4 linked regions of the Neurospora crassa OR74A genome follow. The protein of the gene in region 4 interacts with the protein of the main gene of each other region in a biochemical or structural test. Links are inferred from orthologs where the notes say so. Each region holds a gene or a part of one and is shown on either strand. Other genes may lie near its edges.

Region 1 (4,108 bases), on a different chromosome or scaffold from region 4:
TTGCCAACCACCTCATTTACCGTGGACTCGAGTCGGGAGATGGAAGTATGGAGGAGGGTATTAGCGCTTGTCGAAAGATGCTTGTTATTGTGTTTGTTTACGATCTGTTGTTTGGTCGGTTTTCATTTGGCTTTTCATGTCGCAGTTTGGCGTTCATGAAGGCAGTTGCATCATCATCGTCTCATTGTTGGGTCTCGTTGCTTCAGGTAGATTAATTCAGAGTGTCTTGTTCAAGTCGGAATATTGCGATTTGGATGTGAGTAGTCGAAGTGGAATTTGGTTGCAGGTTCTTGGACTTTCAAGATCTTGCAGAGGTAAGTCTGAGAACCCGTCCAGCTGGTTAGAACAAGTCAGTAAACTGATTGTTTGGTACCTCAGTGATACGGTCCATCAGCATCATTCTGTTCAACATAGTCAGTGACTTTGCAGCTCCTATGAACCAAGTGAGTATACCTTCCTTGGAAGAGAATTTACGTACATCTACTCACCTGTCCACATATTTTGATCATTCTGACATTCAGTTGTGAACGATGAAAGGTTCGAGCAAACCGCAGTATAAATGAATTCTACATTTGACGTTCTGCACCAAATACTTGACATGATAACCGTATAGACCATTACGTATACAACAATCTTTCAGTTCCGAGACCTTATTCACACCCATCCATCCATCCACACCTTTACAGCACCTAACCCACAAACCTACAACTTACTAGTCCTACTCTCCTTCTTCAACATCTCCTCCGCCACAATCCTCCTCTGGATCTTGCCCGTCGCCGTCTTGGGCATCACATCCGTAAAGTAGATCTTCTTGGGCACCTTGAACTTGGCCAGCTTGCTTCCCACCCATTGCTTAAACTCCTCCGCATCCACCTTCTGTTGACCAGGCTTCAACACAATCGCCACCGCGACTTCCTGTCCGTACATTTCATCCGGGATCGCAAAGCTAACAGCCTCGGAAACGGCCGGGTGGCGCGTCAGGACATTATCCAGCTCAATCGGCGAGATCTTCTCGCCGCCTTTGTTGATCAGCTCCTTGATGCGGCCCGTAATGACAATGTAGCCGTCCTCGTCCTTCTTGCCTTGGTCGCCCGTGCGGAAGTAGCCCCCCTTACGCGTGAACGAGGACGCGTTGGCTTCGGGGTTGTTGAGGTACCCCTTGGTGACGTTTTCGCCGCGGATGGAGATCTCGCCTTCTTGTCCGTCGGGTAAGATGTTGTCTTTGTCGTCGAGAATGACGACTTCCACGCCTTGGCCGAGGCCGACGGTGCCGGGCTTGCGCTTGCCGACCGAGGGAAGCGGGTTGGAAGTCATTTGGTGGGCGGCTTCGGTCATGGCGTAGGCTTCGAGGACGGGGGCCTGGAAGGTCTTTTCGAGGTTGTGGAAGACGGTGGGTGATAGAGGGGAGGAGCAGGAGCGGATGAAGCGGATCTTGGGCAGAGGGTTGGGGACCGGGTGCTTGAGGAGGATTTGGTGGATGGTGGGCACGGCGGTGTACCAGTTTGCTTGGAACTGGATGAAGTCAGACCAGAAATCGGTGGCGGAGAATTTGGCGGGGACGATCATGCTGCCGCCTGTCAGGAGGGGGGCCAAAAGACCGCACAAAAGGCCGTGGACGTGGAAGAGGGGCATGACGAGCATGGTTCGGTCGGCAGAGGTGAGCTGGTACGTGTTGCGGATGTTCTTCATGGTGCGCGTCAGGTTGCGGTGCGTGAGCGGGACGACCTTGGGGCGCGAGGTGGTGCCGCTGGTGTGCAGGACGAGAGCGATGTCGTCGGCGTCTGGCTTCAACACGGGCTGGGCGCCCTTGCCGGTGAGTTGGCCGAGTTCCTTGACGTCGAGAGCGACTTCGTTTTTGGCGGCGTCCCAGTAGGATTCGGCGATGGCGGCGTTGAACTTTTGCGCGGCCTTAACGACGGGAGCACCGGCTGCGTAGGCGCCCTTGGGGACGATCACGATGGCGGACTTGACGTCCTCGATGTAGAACTCGAATTCATCTTGCTTGTAGGCCGGGTTGAGAGGGGCGGCGATGCCGCGCTGCCACGAGGCGGCAAGGAAAGAGACGATGAACTCGTACGAGTTGACGGTGGCGATGGAGACCGGAGAACCCTTGGTGATGCCAATGTCTGCCAGCTTCTTCTGGAACGAAGCGGTTTCACGCTTCAGGTCGGCGTAGGTGACTGTGAGCGCCTGCGGCTTGGAGGGGATGATGACGGCCACATCGTTATCGGCGCCCTGGATGGCGGCCTGGAGGTCAAATGGGCAAGGCATGACGTTGATTTTTCTGTTTTTTCCAATTGATAGTATGAAGTGGAACTCTGTGACCTTTATGGTGTGGTATTACAGAAATTTCTCTTGGTGTGGTTCGGAAGATGTTGATGGCGTCTTGTGATGACTGATCCAATGACACTAGTCGAGTACAAGGACAGTCCGCTTTGGGCAAAGACGCTTCGTGTAAGTGAGTCCGCTACTGGGAATAGCTTCACAAATGAGACAGAAGGAGTAAACAGAGTGACAACTTGTTCAATTGGAAACTCAAAAAGATCTGAGTAAAACAGAATTACAATGAACGCCGACGACGGAGGCGAGTTTGGAACACCATTTGATACTCACCCCGGTCCAAGACCGATGATGCCATTCAATACCTCCCATTCCGCGTTCGGCAGTAGGCCGGCAATCGGTAACCTCCATGGGCCCACAGGGGACCACTAGCACAGCTGTCTAAAAGCGGGGAAATAAGGGGCTAAGACGTCGGGTTAGGGTTGTACCCGCCTTTGCACGCACCTTTGAATGTGTTTGTCTGCCGCTCTGTCAAAGGGCGGCGTCTCCATCATCACCTATTTTTGCTGCTTCCGAAGCGGAGAGGACGACACCCTCTTACACCGTAGTCTCACTCACATCCAGGCTTGTTCAACCTGGACAAGTCATATAGCCACGCCATTCGTAGGGTGTCACGAGGTTCGAACAAAGTTTTGGGCTGGTCTATAAAATTATACAGAGCGCTGACCCTTCTTTTCAGCGTTTTCGTCCCAAACCCTTCTTTTACCCTGTTTGTGAAGAGTCCAAACCTCTCTTCAACGACACTTGACAAATCTACCTCACCAAACTTCACTCCTATCACAACAACACCACAAACCACCTCTACCAAAGTAAAAAAAACCATCACCATGGCCCCCTCCCCTTCCCGCCTCACCGGGGCATTCACCACCCTCAAGGACACCATCCTCGCCCTCATCGACCCGTGGATCTTCCTATCCCTCTCCGCCTCCTACCTACCCACAACTGTCCTCTCTCTCCTGCGGAAACGGCGCTTCCTCGCCCTCCTCGGCGGTCCTCTACTCTCCTCTGAATTCCAATCCGTCTGGTTCGGCCACTTCTGGTCCCGCGCCGGTCCCCAAGTGCGCAGCAACGCCGAAGCGAACGTCGTGCCCCTGCTAGAAGGCAGAGTATCCAAAGGGCAAGTCGTTCCCAAGAGCGAAGCGCACGCGCCCGGAGTGGGAGGAGTCGTGCTGGAGATTGGACCGGGGAGTGGCATGTGGGTTAGCTTGTTTAGTGATGACAAGTATCTAAAGGATGAAGAGGAGGAGGAGGGGCAAGGAGGGGAAGATGATGCCGAGGAGGAAGGACTGTCGGCTAGTTGGGCGACGATAACTCCTTCTTCTCAGCAGCAACAGCAACAGCAACAACAAAAGCAGACGACAAAAAAGGTGGTGGGAAGTCGCCAGAGGATAACGCAGGTGTATGGCATCGAGCCCAATTATGGCATTCACCCGCTGCTTCAACATAACATTGCGCAGGCAGGCCTGTCGCAAACGTACACCATCCTTCCCTTTGGCATCGAGGATATTGAACGCTACGCGCCTCAGATCCAGCCTGAATCTCTGGATTGCATAGTCTCCATCCTCTGCCTTTGCAGTATTCCGGAGCCGCAAAAGAACATTGCCATCCTGTACCGCTATCTCAAGCCGGGCGGCCGTTGGTTCGTCTACGAACACGTCAAGTGCTGCTCTAGCAAGCCGGGCGGTTGGTTCATGAATGCCTACCAGGCCTTTGTCAACCTCTTCTGGCCAATCTGCCTCGGCGGATGCCAGCTTCGTCGCGATACTGG
Region 2 (4,032 bases), about 5.6 Mb from region 4:
GGTATACGACTGAACAACCGACTCAAGCAGACAAACACCCCTTTGTCTGTGTAGGCTAATTAGCCACGCTTCGTTCCATCCCTGTGCCATCGGTGTGGTCACCGCCTCACATCGCCTATCACTTCCCTTCATCCCCCCTTTCGATTTCACACCTCGTGCGTCCATGTCTTTCAGCGTTCGCCGCTTCCGCTTACTCCATGCATCCATTCATCCATTTACCATGGCCGTCCTCTGTGTCTATATCTCCCTTTTGGCTCGCTCGGGTATTGACTTATGGTGAAAAGACGTTTACCCACGCAATAATCGTGTCATGCAGGTGTATAAAGATGTGAGAGTGTTTGTCATTCTCTTAATAATGATAATGCCGTAACTGACCGTTGTGGGCATGCATGCTTGTTTGGTGACGTCTTACACCCTTCCGACGAGTTCGAAAACTTCCGGAAATGCTCCGACTGATTATCTCACCGCGCTCTCGTGTGCCTCTACGTAGCTGCTTGGTGATTTTTTCCTGGTAGGAAAGTGTGGTCATTTCCACCAGGCTGGGCGAATCCGAATCAAGGAGAATCCGATTTTGATTTGATTTGCTATTGTGTCTGATTGTTGTGTTGGAGAGGAAAGCCGATTAGATGGCCATTGGGTGTTGGGCCACTCCCAGGAGGCCGGCGCTTTGCACATGGTAGATCCAGAGCTCGCACGATCAGGCGTGTATTAAGAGAATGAGACCGAGTGTCGAAGCCGAGAAGAGCGTGGCATGAACCGCGACGTCTCGATGTGCATTTTGCTGAGATCATTCCGCCTGCGTTCCTTGCCTCCCTAAGAAAAGAACTGCGACTTCTGGAAACTCTCGACGCTAATATCGCTAGCCTTGGCCGCCGGTAGGGCCGGAACCAGCACTTTCTTATCCGCGTCGCTGAGGATGCTGCTCAGCGAGTTGGCCCTCGTGTCGCCGTCAATGCTGATGGATGGGGCCCCAGCAATAGCTGCAACAGGCTGACCTGGCTTCTTAAGTACCTCGAGGAAGGTGGCCGGTAGATAGCCAATTCTTCCGTCGCGGGCGCGACACTTCCACCACTCGCTAGGCTGGCCGAGAGGATCGCTCTTGCTGAGAACGGCAACCAGATCACCCTTGTGAACTTCAAGGTCTACGCCCGGGACGATCTCGCCATTCCCCTGCGTGGCGGGCGAGAAGTCGTACAGGACGCGGCAGAACTCAAGCTTGGTCGGGTCGATGGTTTGTTGTTGCGCGACAACGAGCTGGCGCTTCTTTTCCTCTTCCTCAGCGTTGGAGGCCAGCGACTTGATCACCCTGCTCATCACGTAGGGCAGACCGAAGGCAGCGAGAACGAAGAAGATGAGGGGCTTTCGGCTGGGCTTGGGCATGGCACCGGCGGCACCACCGGCAGCCGCTGCAGCACCGCCCTTCCCGCGTCCATCAAACATGGCAAAAGAGGCTGGATTGAGGCTGGAGACATCGGCTGGTAGAGGCTTGCCGGTGATCTTGGCGAACACTGTCCTAATCCAGCGCATAATAGTGAAGATGCCCAGAATGGAGCCTAGGGTTTGGCGAAGATTGCCAAACTGCTCTGCGACAGCAACCATGGCTGAGCTGATGTTAGTATATCAGTTGCGCCTGACTGGAGGTGGGCATGTAGGATGATATAACCTACCAAAGAAACTCGAGTGTGTCGCCATATAAGTGCTCTCAAGCATTTGTGCAAAACCTCCGAATGCGCCGACAATGCCTTCCAGCATCTGGAATGTGGCCATCGTACTCATGTTGAAGCGGTTGGTCAAACTTTCCGGGTTGTTGGGATCGCCCGGCATGCCACCCATACCTCCTCCATACATGCCGCCGCCGCCGTACATGCCACCGCCGTACATCGACCCGCCGTAACCGCCGTACATTGAACTGCCGTATCCGCCCATACCCCCATACCTGGAATAGGGGCTGGAATAGGGCGACGAGTATGCTGAGCCGTATGAAGAGCCGTATGTTGTGCCGTACGAGCCTACGCCGACCCCGTATGGTGATGTACCCATCGCGCCCATTGGTCTGCTGTAGTTGGCGGCATTTTGGTTGACGGAGGCGGTCAGACTGGCAGGTCTCGCGGGGATGGCCGGGGTTGAGCCTGATGTTGTTGTTGTCGTGTTTGACTCTGGTGATGGCGTCGCGGCCGAAGAGGCTGCTGGTGCGGGCGCTGTGTCATTGCGGATTCAATGTCAGTGCCCTGCTTGTCGGGCGCACATGGAATGGTGAACGGGAAAAAAAACATACCCGATGCGCCAGACGTCGCGCCTTGTCTTTCCCACGGTTTCGGGGGGGATGCCATGGCGATTGTGTGTGGATTATCTGATCCTCCGCCGTTGATGGCCGGTGGTAGTGCTCGAGGAATGACTTCGATGGACCGGTAAAGGGAGAAGACGAAAACAAGGGGGGTTTACTGGTGGCCGCCTAGTTAGGGATGGTCCAGTCGTCAGTCTTAAGCGATGGGACAGAATGCGTGCGATGCGACAAGCGTCAGGACCGCTGCACTTTGCTGCTGGGAGCTGGCTGAGCGCCTGGGCTGGCAAAGAGTTGCCGCAGTGGCGAGGGCGCTGGGCTTAGCTGAGGATCCCGGTTTGGCGGCTTCCTCGCGTAAATTCGTTCAGGGAAGGGGAGCGCGAGAGAGTGTGTGCGAGTAGATCAGGGCCAATAAGTAGAGTCAGCGGGCGTGGCATCAGAGGATAATTTATCGTAGTCTTATTCTCGACTTCTTTTTGGGCCCTTCGGGTATAAAAATGTCGACTTTTCCTAGACCACTATGGGGAGGGGATCGAGCATTGACAGGAGGGGACGATGTCGTAGCAGCGGAAAGGTGGAGAACGTCAGTCCGGGAGCGACCACTCCTGTTGCTTTTATCGCTTTCGGACGGCTTGTGAACCTCGGCAACATTTTAGCGGGTAACACTGCCTGCATGGACACTTTATGTATGGTAGGTAGGTACCGACCCAGCATGGTCAGCTGCATGCTGGGCATCGTGCTCGTCTTTTACGACTCTGCAGTCTGCACTCCACGAACATCAGCATGATGTAAGCTGTGATAAAGGAAAACGTGGATGTACGCAGTATAATTGTTCCTTAACATGGTGGATTGAGAAATGCTTGCACGTCAACGTATTAAGCTCGCCAACTTCCAAGTTCAGGGGGTGCGGTATATCGATGATTCTGGCAGGTTGCAACCAAGGTCGGTTGTTTTGTAATTGCTCGATGCTGTTCTCTTTCAAGACCTAATCAACAAGCCAACCTCAAATTCAGATCAGTGCGTATGAATGTCCGAATAATAGTTCGGATTGCCAATATGGACACTACTAGCCGTAGGACAGAAAGGAGAAACGACCAGTCTTACATGCACGCTAACAATGAATACCCATCAATTACGCCAACGCCTTTGCAATGCCTCTGTGGAATAGTAAGCATCTTTCCCCGATCCCATTGGGTTTCCTGAATGCCTCCTTACTAAAGGATGGCCGAGAAGCTCATCGCACGAAAAGCCAAGTCTGCCCAACCTATCCTATCCATCACATCGGTCATACCTCAACCCAAAGTCCTGACTAGGGACCTAACACATCTAGCGGGCCTGCGACCCCTTCAGTGCCGATTCCCGTCGTGCTAAAGGCCCGCCCTTTTGTCCAACTAGCCACTCTTTCCAGTCCGTGCTTGTGTATGGAACAAATCTAATGACGAGGAGAATAACGACGAGGTGAAAAGACATCCTCTGCCGTGACAGAAAGCGGAACCTAGCTGTTCATGACATCTCCATGCCCTCGTCTTCATCAAGCTCGCTTTCAAGCACTTGCGTATGGTTGCTACTAATGCTCCCTTTACGCCGTGACGAGCCAGACCCTCCGTCGTGGTAACGACCATCGATCCCCACCATCAAATCAAGCTCGTCACCGCCAACCACACGGCCTTCCATATCAACTTCCTGCGAGAGCTCCACCAGAGCCGCCCGAGGAAGCCTCTGGAAACCGAGCGTGCGTACAACCCTGCCCC
Region 3 (3,996 bases), on a different chromosome or scaffold from region 4:
TCCCCTTTGTGGCCAATATCCCCTTCGGGTTTGGGCGAGACGAAGGCGCTATGAGAACATTGGCACAGGAAGAAAGGGATGATGGGTGGGGTCAATGTTTGGTTCCAAGCAAGCATTGCCCGATCAAGTAATAGCTACGAGGACTATTAGATGCGATTGGAAACTGAACCATGGCACGAAGGTGTATGTACCTTGAACCCGGGATGTCTTAACAGAGAATATTCCGCATCCGACCTCTCGGGTACGCATATGCTACGCTGAGGTAATGATTTGGCAGCGACATCAATACCTACACTACAATGTATCCTTTAGTTCTCTACAGAGGCCGCGGTGTTCTGACTGTACCGATGTGGCTGAAAGTCCTGAATAGAGGGCGACATAACCAAAGCCAGTTGTCCCTCTTTGACCGTTTGCGCATCTCTATTCGATCATGGCTTTTTTTTTTTTTTGCCCCTCCCCTCCAGTTTTTTTGGGTGGCTGAGGACAATAACCAAAAATTTGTCTCGGCAATGCCATAGCAGCGGTCAAAATAGTGAGGCAGAAATACTGGGCGGTCAGGTGTACGGGATGTCTCAGATCAATTCACGGCCTAACCTTATAAGATGTGAAAATGGTAGCTTTTGATATCATGCTCTAGGAAAATGCCATGCAACGTCCGCGCTTAAAGACCTTGCAGAAATACAAACGCGCTATCATGGAAAGGGGACTGAATGAGGTTGTCCCATGCTTCACAAGTGCTCCTGTGTATTGTCCTGCTTGAACAACGTACAGGAGCTTTATTACTATACAGAAAACCAGAGGGAGTCGCTCACTTTGGCCTTATGCTCATGCCGATTAATGTATCCAGGTTTCCCAGTTCCGGTGCTATTTTATCTTTGTGCCTGACTGGAGAACAGCTTTTTAAGCGGCTTCGTCGCCTCCGTTGCTGCTTGAGCCATCGTTTGTAGTACCGTTCGTGACTCCGACAGTCGAAGCCGACGCGGTTTTGTTGGCCATGGCCAACTGCCAAGCAGGGATAGTCGGCTTGCCTGCAGAGGCAATTCCGCTGCTGAAAGGCGAAGGCTTGGGGGCAGCAGGTTGAGCGAACTGCTGTTCCTGCTGGTATCTGGATTGCTCATCCTGCGCACTCGCGGCTCTGCTGTTTAAGTCTCCGTTCTCACCGCCGAGGGCTGGCGTGGCAGGGGCTGAAGAAGGAGTGGCGTTTCCGTTAGTATTGGGGCGAAGGTAGTTGTTGACGCTCGTCGAGGTGGCGGTTGGGTTCATGCGTTGCGAGATGAGGGTCTTGAGGCTCTTGAGTTCGGTATTGAGTTCGCGCAGCCTGTTGTCGGTCAAGTCCTTCTGGTTGTTGAGTGCCCTTGGAATCGAGTCCCTGAGATTTTGCACATCGTCCCGTACTCTCTGTGCTTCGTCGTCTCTGCGTCTGTTGGCTGCCTTGAGGTCCCTGACGACAGTCTCCAGCTCCTCGAGGGCATTGTCGAGTCTCTCTGTCCTTTCCTGCTCCGAGGCCTTGAGGATTTCGGTATCCTTGGCCAGCTGCTCAACCAGTTGGAATGTTTTGTCGAATTGTTCGTCGATGGACTTCTTGTCCTGCTCGAGACGCTCCGGCGTGGGAGGAGCAATCAAAGGATACACATAGCGCTGCCGAACGGTTAGAATTTCCTTTTATGTACATTGCACGGTGTTCGGCGGCCTACCTTGCCGAGATTGTATAGGCCGTACGACGCGCCTCCGACTACGGTCGCCAAAATGAACAGGTCCCTCCAGTCCCGCCTGACACCGTCGGTATTCGATTGCGGCCATGCGTATGGGGGATAGCCATAGTACTGCGGAGAGCCACCCTGTGCTGCGACGGGTCCGGCCGACTGCGCATAGGCGGGCGACTGGGCGTACGGTGGCGGTGGACCTCCTGATTCGGCGCGGGCGAGAGCAGCGCTGACTTCTTCCTGGGTGAGGTTCTTTGCTTGGAGAAAGGCTATCCGCTTCTCGATTGGCGAGGCGGCGACACTGGGGTCTTGAAGAACTGTGGTGTTGTTGTCGGGTGAGATTCTGGCCTGGCAATGTAGAGGAGGTAGCAGGGGACAAGACAGGGGCAGAACATACACTGCGCCGCCGAAGCGACCAGGTCCTCGCGGATGGCCATGACTGATGTTGTTTGATCGAAATGCGGCAGATGGCGTTCCCTTGTTGAGACTGGGCAGACGAGAGGAAAGAAGCAGACAGCTGAAACAGTCGCGACGCGATGGCAGACGGCGGCGGTTGATGGAATGATTATCGAAGGACGGGAGGCTGAATGCGATAGATGAAGTGGAAACGAACTGACTGGCAGCGGTTCGGGGGATGGCTGGGCCGCTGGATGGAGTCCTGAAGCCGAGGTTCACGGGACCGGGGGCCTGATTGTACACTAGACGTGGACTGCTAATAGCACCTTAACAGCTTCGCATCACTTGCACCCCCAGCACACTCGTGGAGGCATGCTGATCAGATAAATCACTATCTCCTCCCCTGACTCTCCTTTTCCTCCGACAGGCCTAGAGCGCAGCTGAGCATCCATTCCATGCAGTGACTGGCTCAGAGACGGGAGTGCAGAGCTGAAAAAGCACTGACCTGAAGCGAGCCAACACTCACCCTCAAGGTCGCTTTTGGACCCACTCCCGTCATTCACCTGCCGTCCCGATGCTTGGGGACGAGAACTGGAGTGCACTTGGCACTGTTCAGCCCAATGATTTCCACAGCCCCACCCACGTCGCCTTTCTTTTGTTTACTCTTCCTGACGGAGCAACCTCCCCCACCATCCGCAGAAGTCGACAACCTAGTCCCGTCTACACTACGGTGTCTTAATCTACCTACATACCTATGCTGGCCTGCATTAGGTTGCTGGCCGTACACGTACTTTTATCGCTACGACACGACGAAATCCGCGACTGCGGTTATGCATTGATTTCTGTCAGAGCCGCGAACACGTACCCACATTAACTCGAGCGCATACCTTAGCTCTACAAAGCTATCCGACATAATCACCACCAAGAGAATCATCGCCGACATCGATCCGACACAGTTGCACGTAGTGTAACACTCTTTTGTTCGCTTGCTTATATATTATCACGGAAACCACGCGACTAGGACGGCAAAAGGGAGGCGCACATTGACGAGGCCTTTGCCGTCATGTCGCAAGACAGCAACGCAGGCCTTTGGAGTGTTCGACGGCCAAGGGAGGTGCGACTTCCCCCCGTGACTTTCTTTGCGGCGTGTTTCCTCGGTCGAAACCTCTCCCCATCCGACGCGACCATGCACGATATTGACTCTGCTCTCTCTGTAGACTCTCCATGGCGTCAACCTCACGTCGGGCATTCCGGCACCACCCTCCACACTTAAGCGACAAAGCACCATCGGCACAATAGGAACGGGCCATGGTCGCTCTCTGTCGGGGAGGCAATCTCTGGCCCTCCCGCGACCGAGCCAACCTCTGTTCCAGCGATCCTCCGACATTGGCCTGGGCTCGGTAAAGCGCGCGTCGGTTCATAACATGAACACGTCGCAGTTCAAGCCCTATGGCACCCCAGGCAGTTCCGGTATTCCTCGATCATCGCAAGAACTCGACCGGCGAAGCAGCGTCTACCGCCCAAGCGCACGACCGTCGGCCGTCGGCGGAGGTCCCTTAGCTGGTGGGCATATGAGCTTCTTCCAGCAAGCGCCCCAGCCCGCCGGCGTGCCTCGCGATCCGCGCCCCCTCAAAGACCGTCAATTCCAAAATCGCATTGGCCAGGAGTTGCTCGAGTACCTCGCCAAGAACAATTTCGAGATGGAGATGAACCACAAGCTGTCCGACAACTTCACAAAGTCGCCGACACAGAAGGACTTCAACTACTTGTTTCAATGGCTTTACCACAGGATAGACCCGAGTTACCGGTTTCAGAAGAATATCGACCAGGAGGTACCACCATTACTCAAACAACTGCGATACCCATACGAGAAGAGCATCACCAAGAGCCAAATCGC
Region 4 (4,205 bases):
CTTTTCACTCCCCAACACAAGCTGTTAACAACCCCGACAAGCCAGCTACATTCGCTTTGTACAGTACTTAATATTTGTATATTCACCAAAACTCCCTATAATCATCCGAACATAGTGTACTCGCCTCACTCGACAAGTAACCCTCGTCCAAGTCCTCATCACACCACTGCTGCTCCTCCTTCAAGGCCTTCTCCATTTCGACATCAACATCGTAGTAAACATCCTCCATAGCGTCATACCCAACCATCCACTCCTGAGCCTCTTCTTTCAACTCCAACTCTGACTCACTCTAGAAATCAAACTCACCACGGAAGATCTCGGGATCCACGCCCGTAGTAACCTTCTCCGCCAGATCCCTCCGTCCCATCTGCGTGAACACGCGACGGAGAGTGTCGTAAAGGGTCGTGCTCCTGTTCTGCGTCATCATGTTATCGATACGCGAGTCGCTATCACCCGCATTGCCGCCCAGCAGCTCGCGCGCCTTCTCGCGTCCGCTCTTCTCTACAGACTTGTGCATGTCCAGCGCCGCGAGCAAGTGACCCGCGGCCTCAGCATGGCAGCCAATGTTGATGCACGAGACGCCAAGGTTGTAGCGGGCGCGGACAAAGTTGGGGTGAATGGCGAGGGCCTTTTCGTAGGCGGCGATGGCCTCCTCGGAGCGGCCGCTGTTGGCGAGAGTGGCGCCCAGCCGGTTCCAGAGCAGGTGGATCTGTTCGCGCTGGTTGGAGGTGCCGAGCTCGGTCGAGTGCAGCGCCGACTGGAAGCAGTCGACGGCCTTGTCGTAGTCCTCGGCGCCGTAGAACAGGACGCCTAGGCCGACCTGCACGTCGGGGTCCATGTGATCGCCATCGGGAGCGAGGCGGGCCGCCTCGAGGAAGAGGTTGGTGACGCGCTCGTGCAGCTGGGCGCGGTCGGTGAAGCCCATGTCAGCGGCCGAGGAAAGGTTACTGGGTGAGATGACGCTGGGGTACTTGGTCGACAGCCAGCGCTCGAGCGTGCGGTAGGCGGTGCTGTCGTAGCCCTCGTTGGTGTAGGAGACGGCTAGGCCCATCATAGCAGAGAGGTTGTTGGGGTCGAGCTTCATGGCACGCTCGAGAGCACGGATGGCAGCTTCTTCCTTCTCGTTCTGGGCTTGCGTCTGTCCGAGGTAGACCCACGCCTCGGTGTGGTCGGGGTTCTTCTGGACCGCAGCCTCGAAGGCCAGAGCAGCTAGCGACAGGTTCCCGCCCTCCTTCATGATACGAATACCCTCTTCGAATGGGTTTGGTGTCTCCCTGAAGAGGTTATCTTCCTCGAAGAGGTACTCTTGCACGATAGGGTCCGCGCCGAGCCTGCCGTTCAGCGTCCAATCTTCCTTTTCCAGGTTCTCACTGTCGAACTTGGCAAAGTCGTCCTGGACATCAATCTCGTCCAACTCCTTCATGGCGTCTCTTTCGGCCTGGATACCGCGCCAGATGGATTCGAGATCGCCAGCACCAGTCTCGGAGTGAAGTAGCGCCTCGTCCATCTTGTTGAGCTCGGGCTCCATGGCGCGGGCCTCGTCACCATTGATCTCCAGCTGAGCAAAATGCTCTTCCCACTTGTTCTGGTCGAGCTCAACAACTTTGCCCTTACCCTTGCCCTCGGGCTGTAGTTGTTGCTGGGGAATGTTGTGCATCTGAGGGCCGTGCATGCCGACCATGGGCTGGTACATGGGTCGCTGCATCATGTTGTAGTTCATGTTGCCCATGCCCATCATGCCACCACCCATCATGGGGCGCTGAGCAGGCATCTGGCTGGCGGTGGCCGGCGCCGCGGCGGGGTGCATTTGCTGGAACTTTGAAAACTCATCGGCGCTGAACTGAGTGCCAGGCGGCGCATTGAAGGCGGCTTCCATAGCCGCCTGTGTGTTGTGGAAGTCCTGAGCCCATGCTGGCGAGGCGTTCGGGGCGCGCATGTGGGCGCCTTGGCTCGGGTCGAGGTGAAGCATATGTCCTTGTTCGAGAGGCATATGAGCCATCTCCGGCGTTTGGTTTAGGAATCCGTTCACCATCTGTTCGAGAGGATCGTCATGTCAGCCAAGAGCGCATGCCTTGCCGTCAACAATATCCATGAAGATTCCTTACCTCATCTTGGCCAGGCCCGCGGTTAATACTCCGGAAGCCACCAACCGCAGCATTGGGACCTCTGTTGGCAAGTCTGTCATGTTGGAGGCTCTTGTCGTCTCCAACATGCTTGGTAAACTGACTGAGCGGGTTGCCCGCCGTCGAACACTCGGCTCCACCCATGAAAGACATTTTGAAGATGTTGGATATTAATGCGACAATGGCGATGTTTCGGCGAAAGTTGACAACGAAGCCCAAGACAGAAGACAAGATGGGCGGCTCTTGTACACTATCTGGTAGACGAAGTAGAGCGCTATGCGGTCGACTGTTGGGAAAGCAGCGGCCCGCGCAAGTTGTAGAGGCAGGCTGGAAGTAGCGGTAGCTAGGTAGATTTTTGCGCAGGGCAAAGGAAGGATGACTTTAGTTTGGAAGAGGGAAAGAAAAAAAGAAGTGGAAGTAACAAACAAGCCAGGCACGGGCGTGGTGAGCTCGTGGAGTTGATTAATTAGTGATCAAGCGGCGGTGTCCAGAACTGAAGTTGTCCAGGTGAAAGAAAGAAGTTGACCGACTCTCGCGGGATGTGTGGCAGGTGTGCTGTCTTGTAAGTAACGACGGGAGCCCACGGATGCACGGGCGGGTTGTCTGGGTCCGGCATGTGTGGATGGCAGCAGCGTGGTTAGAAATCGGGCTCTGCATGCATCTGAAGTGAGTTGGAACCTTGGGCGCCAAAAGCTCAGGTCACTCAGGGGCACAAGGGGGGCACCGCCGTGCGCCACCTGAACAGCTGGAAATGCCGAGGCAGCCAGGGCACCTCAGCCAGCCATCATATCCACCTCACCGCGCTCTTGTTAGGTCTTTTTGGGCTGTGGCAGTTGCCGGCCACACCTCAGGCACTTGTTGCCTGGCCGCGGCTATTACTGGTAACCCCGCCAATGGAGTGTTGTCAACCACACCTCACATGGAGCCGAACCCCAGCCCGGCCCGTGGAGTACACCCCCGCCCCCGCCCCCGGATCCATCATCGATCCCTTCGTTCCTTCAAACGACAGCCGAGAACAATCGGACGACAGCGGAGTGCGGAAATCATACTCGCATGCCGACAGCACGGCAATGTACGCAAGTTGAAAGGGAAAATGAACAATCAAACGATGCGTTTCGAGCAGATCGTCACGTCACGCATACGGGATGCAGGACGCAAAGAAGGTACAGAAGACCACCCCTCTATTCGTACATATGTACAGCGATATAACCAACAAAAAATGGTAAACGAAAACAACTAGTCGCAGTAAGAAGAAAGAAGAGAAGATTTTTCGTAGTTGTACAGGTATCATTGCAAGCAAAAGGTCAGGATGATGTACGCAGAGTGATCGTACTGCAAAGGCGCCACAACACCAATCCCACAGTTTCCCAATCCCAATGTGCCCCAATTTTGGCAACATTTGTCAAGAAACACAACCGGCCTCTTTTCTTTTTTGAAAACCGAACTTGCCCAGTTTTGCCCTCCATTACATCCGTTTCCCATCCTCTTCACCCAGTCATGTCGTAACCATTACATGCCCTCGATTGCGGCTTGTTAGTTTAGAACTCGGTGGACTCGCCCTGGTCGCGGCGGTTGTAGTTGCGGTCGCCACCCTCGCGGTTGTAGCTGCGGTCGCCACCCTCGCGGTTGTAGCTGCGGTTGCCACCATCACGGTTGTAGTTGCGGTTGCCACCCTCACGGTTGTAGCTGCGGTTACCGCCGTCGCGGTTGTAGCTGCGCTGACCATCGCGCTGACCATCACGCTGCTGACGGGGGCGGTACTCGCGGCGTTCGCCGTTGTTCTCACGGGGCTGACGAGCAGCGGCGGGCTGAGCATAGTCAATCTTGATGGTCCTCTCGCCGAGCTGGGTACCCTGGAGCTTCTCCAAGGCGTTGACGGCAGCCTCAACGTCGACGAAGTCGGCGTGGGCGAAGCCACGGGGCCAGCCGGTAGCACGGTCAACGGCGACGCGGACGTCCTTGAGACCGTCAATGCCGACGAAGATGTTGTTCAGCTCGGCATCGGTGGTCTCGTAGGGGATGTTGCCAATGAAAAGGCAGGCAGAGGGCTCGCCGACGGCGCTGCCGCGGTTGACCTTCGCA

What was found.
Region 1: the proteins of pex5 (region 4) and NCU08935 form a complex in vitro, tested with the Saccharomyces cerevisiae proteins (2 studies listed by BioGRID). The link is inferred for Neurospora crassa OR74A from reciprocal best matches to the Saccharomyces cerevisiae genes PEX5 and PCS60.
Region 2: the proteins of pex5 (region 4) and pex13 form a complex in vitro, tested with the Saccharomyces cerevisiae proteins (4 studies listed by BioGRID, with this or other methods). The link is inferred for Neurospora crassa OR74A from reciprocal best matches to the Saccharomyces cerevisiae genes PEX5 and PEX13.
Region 3: the proteins of pex5 (region 4) and pex14 form a complex in vitro, tested with the Saccharomyces cerevisiae proteins (3 studies listed by BioGRID). The link is inferred for Neurospora crassa OR74A from reciprocal best matches to the Saccharomyces cerevisiae genes PEX5 and PEX14.

Annotation. Positions count from the first base shown.
Region 1 is NC_026505.1:5,752,031-5,756,138, reverse strand, and holds NCU08935 (peroxisomal-coenzyme A synthetase), read right to left. Parts: upstream 2,605-4,108; 5' UTR 2,272-2,604; coding exon 703-2,271; 3' UTR 539-702; downstream 1-538. Other genes in the region: NCU08934 (hypothetical protein), read left to right, coding at 3,168-4,108. UniProt on the Saccharomyces cerevisiae protein: Catalyzes the first step in a degradation pathway of oxalate to CO(2) to protect the cell against the harmful effects of oxalate derived from endogenous processes or an environmental sources.
Region 2 is NC_026501.1:2,931,267-2,935,298, reverse strand, and holds the start of pex13 (peroxisomal membrane protein), read right to left. Parts: upstream 2,852-4,032; 5' UTR 2,331-2,851; coding exon 2,276-2,330; intron 2,199-2,275; coding exon 1,668-2,198; intron 1,602-1,667; coding exon 814-1,601; 3' UTR 1-813. Other genes in the region: NCU02617 (kelch repeat-containing protein), read right to left, coding at 3,785-4,032. UniProt on the Saccharomyces cerevisiae protein: Component of the PEX13-PEX14 docking complex, a translocon channel that specifically mediates the import of peroxisomal cargo proteins bound to PEX5 or PEX21 receptors.
Region 3 is NC_026506.1:2,098,028-2,102,023, reverse strand, and holds pex14 (peroxisomal membrane anchor protein), read right to left. Parts: upstream 2,555-3,996; 5' UTR 2,141-2,554; coding exon 2,101-2,140; intron 2,021-2,100; coding exon 1,695-2,020; intron 1,639-1,694; coding exon 901-1,638; 3' UTR 539-900; downstream 1-538. Other genes in the region: NCU03899 (HEC/Ndc80p family protein), read left to right, coding at 3,163-3,213, 3,317-3,996. UniProt on the Saccharomyces cerevisiae protein: Component of the PEX13-PEX14 docking complex, a translocon channel that specifically mediates the import of peroxisomal cargo proteins bound to PEX5 or PEX21 receptors.
Region 4 is NC_026501.1:8,571,302-8,575,506, forward strand, and holds the start of pex5 (peroxisomal targeting signal receptor), read right to left. Parts: upstream 2,818-4,205; 5' UTR 2,277-2,817; coding exon 2,106-2,276; intron 2,033-2,105; coding exon 290-2,032; 3' UTR 1-289. Other genes in the region: NCU16466 (nucleic acid-binding protein), read right to left, coding at 3,662-4,205. UniProt on the Saccharomyces cerevisiae protein: Receptor that mediates peroxisomal import of proteins containing a C-terminal PTS1-type tripeptide peroxisomal targeting signal (SKL-type).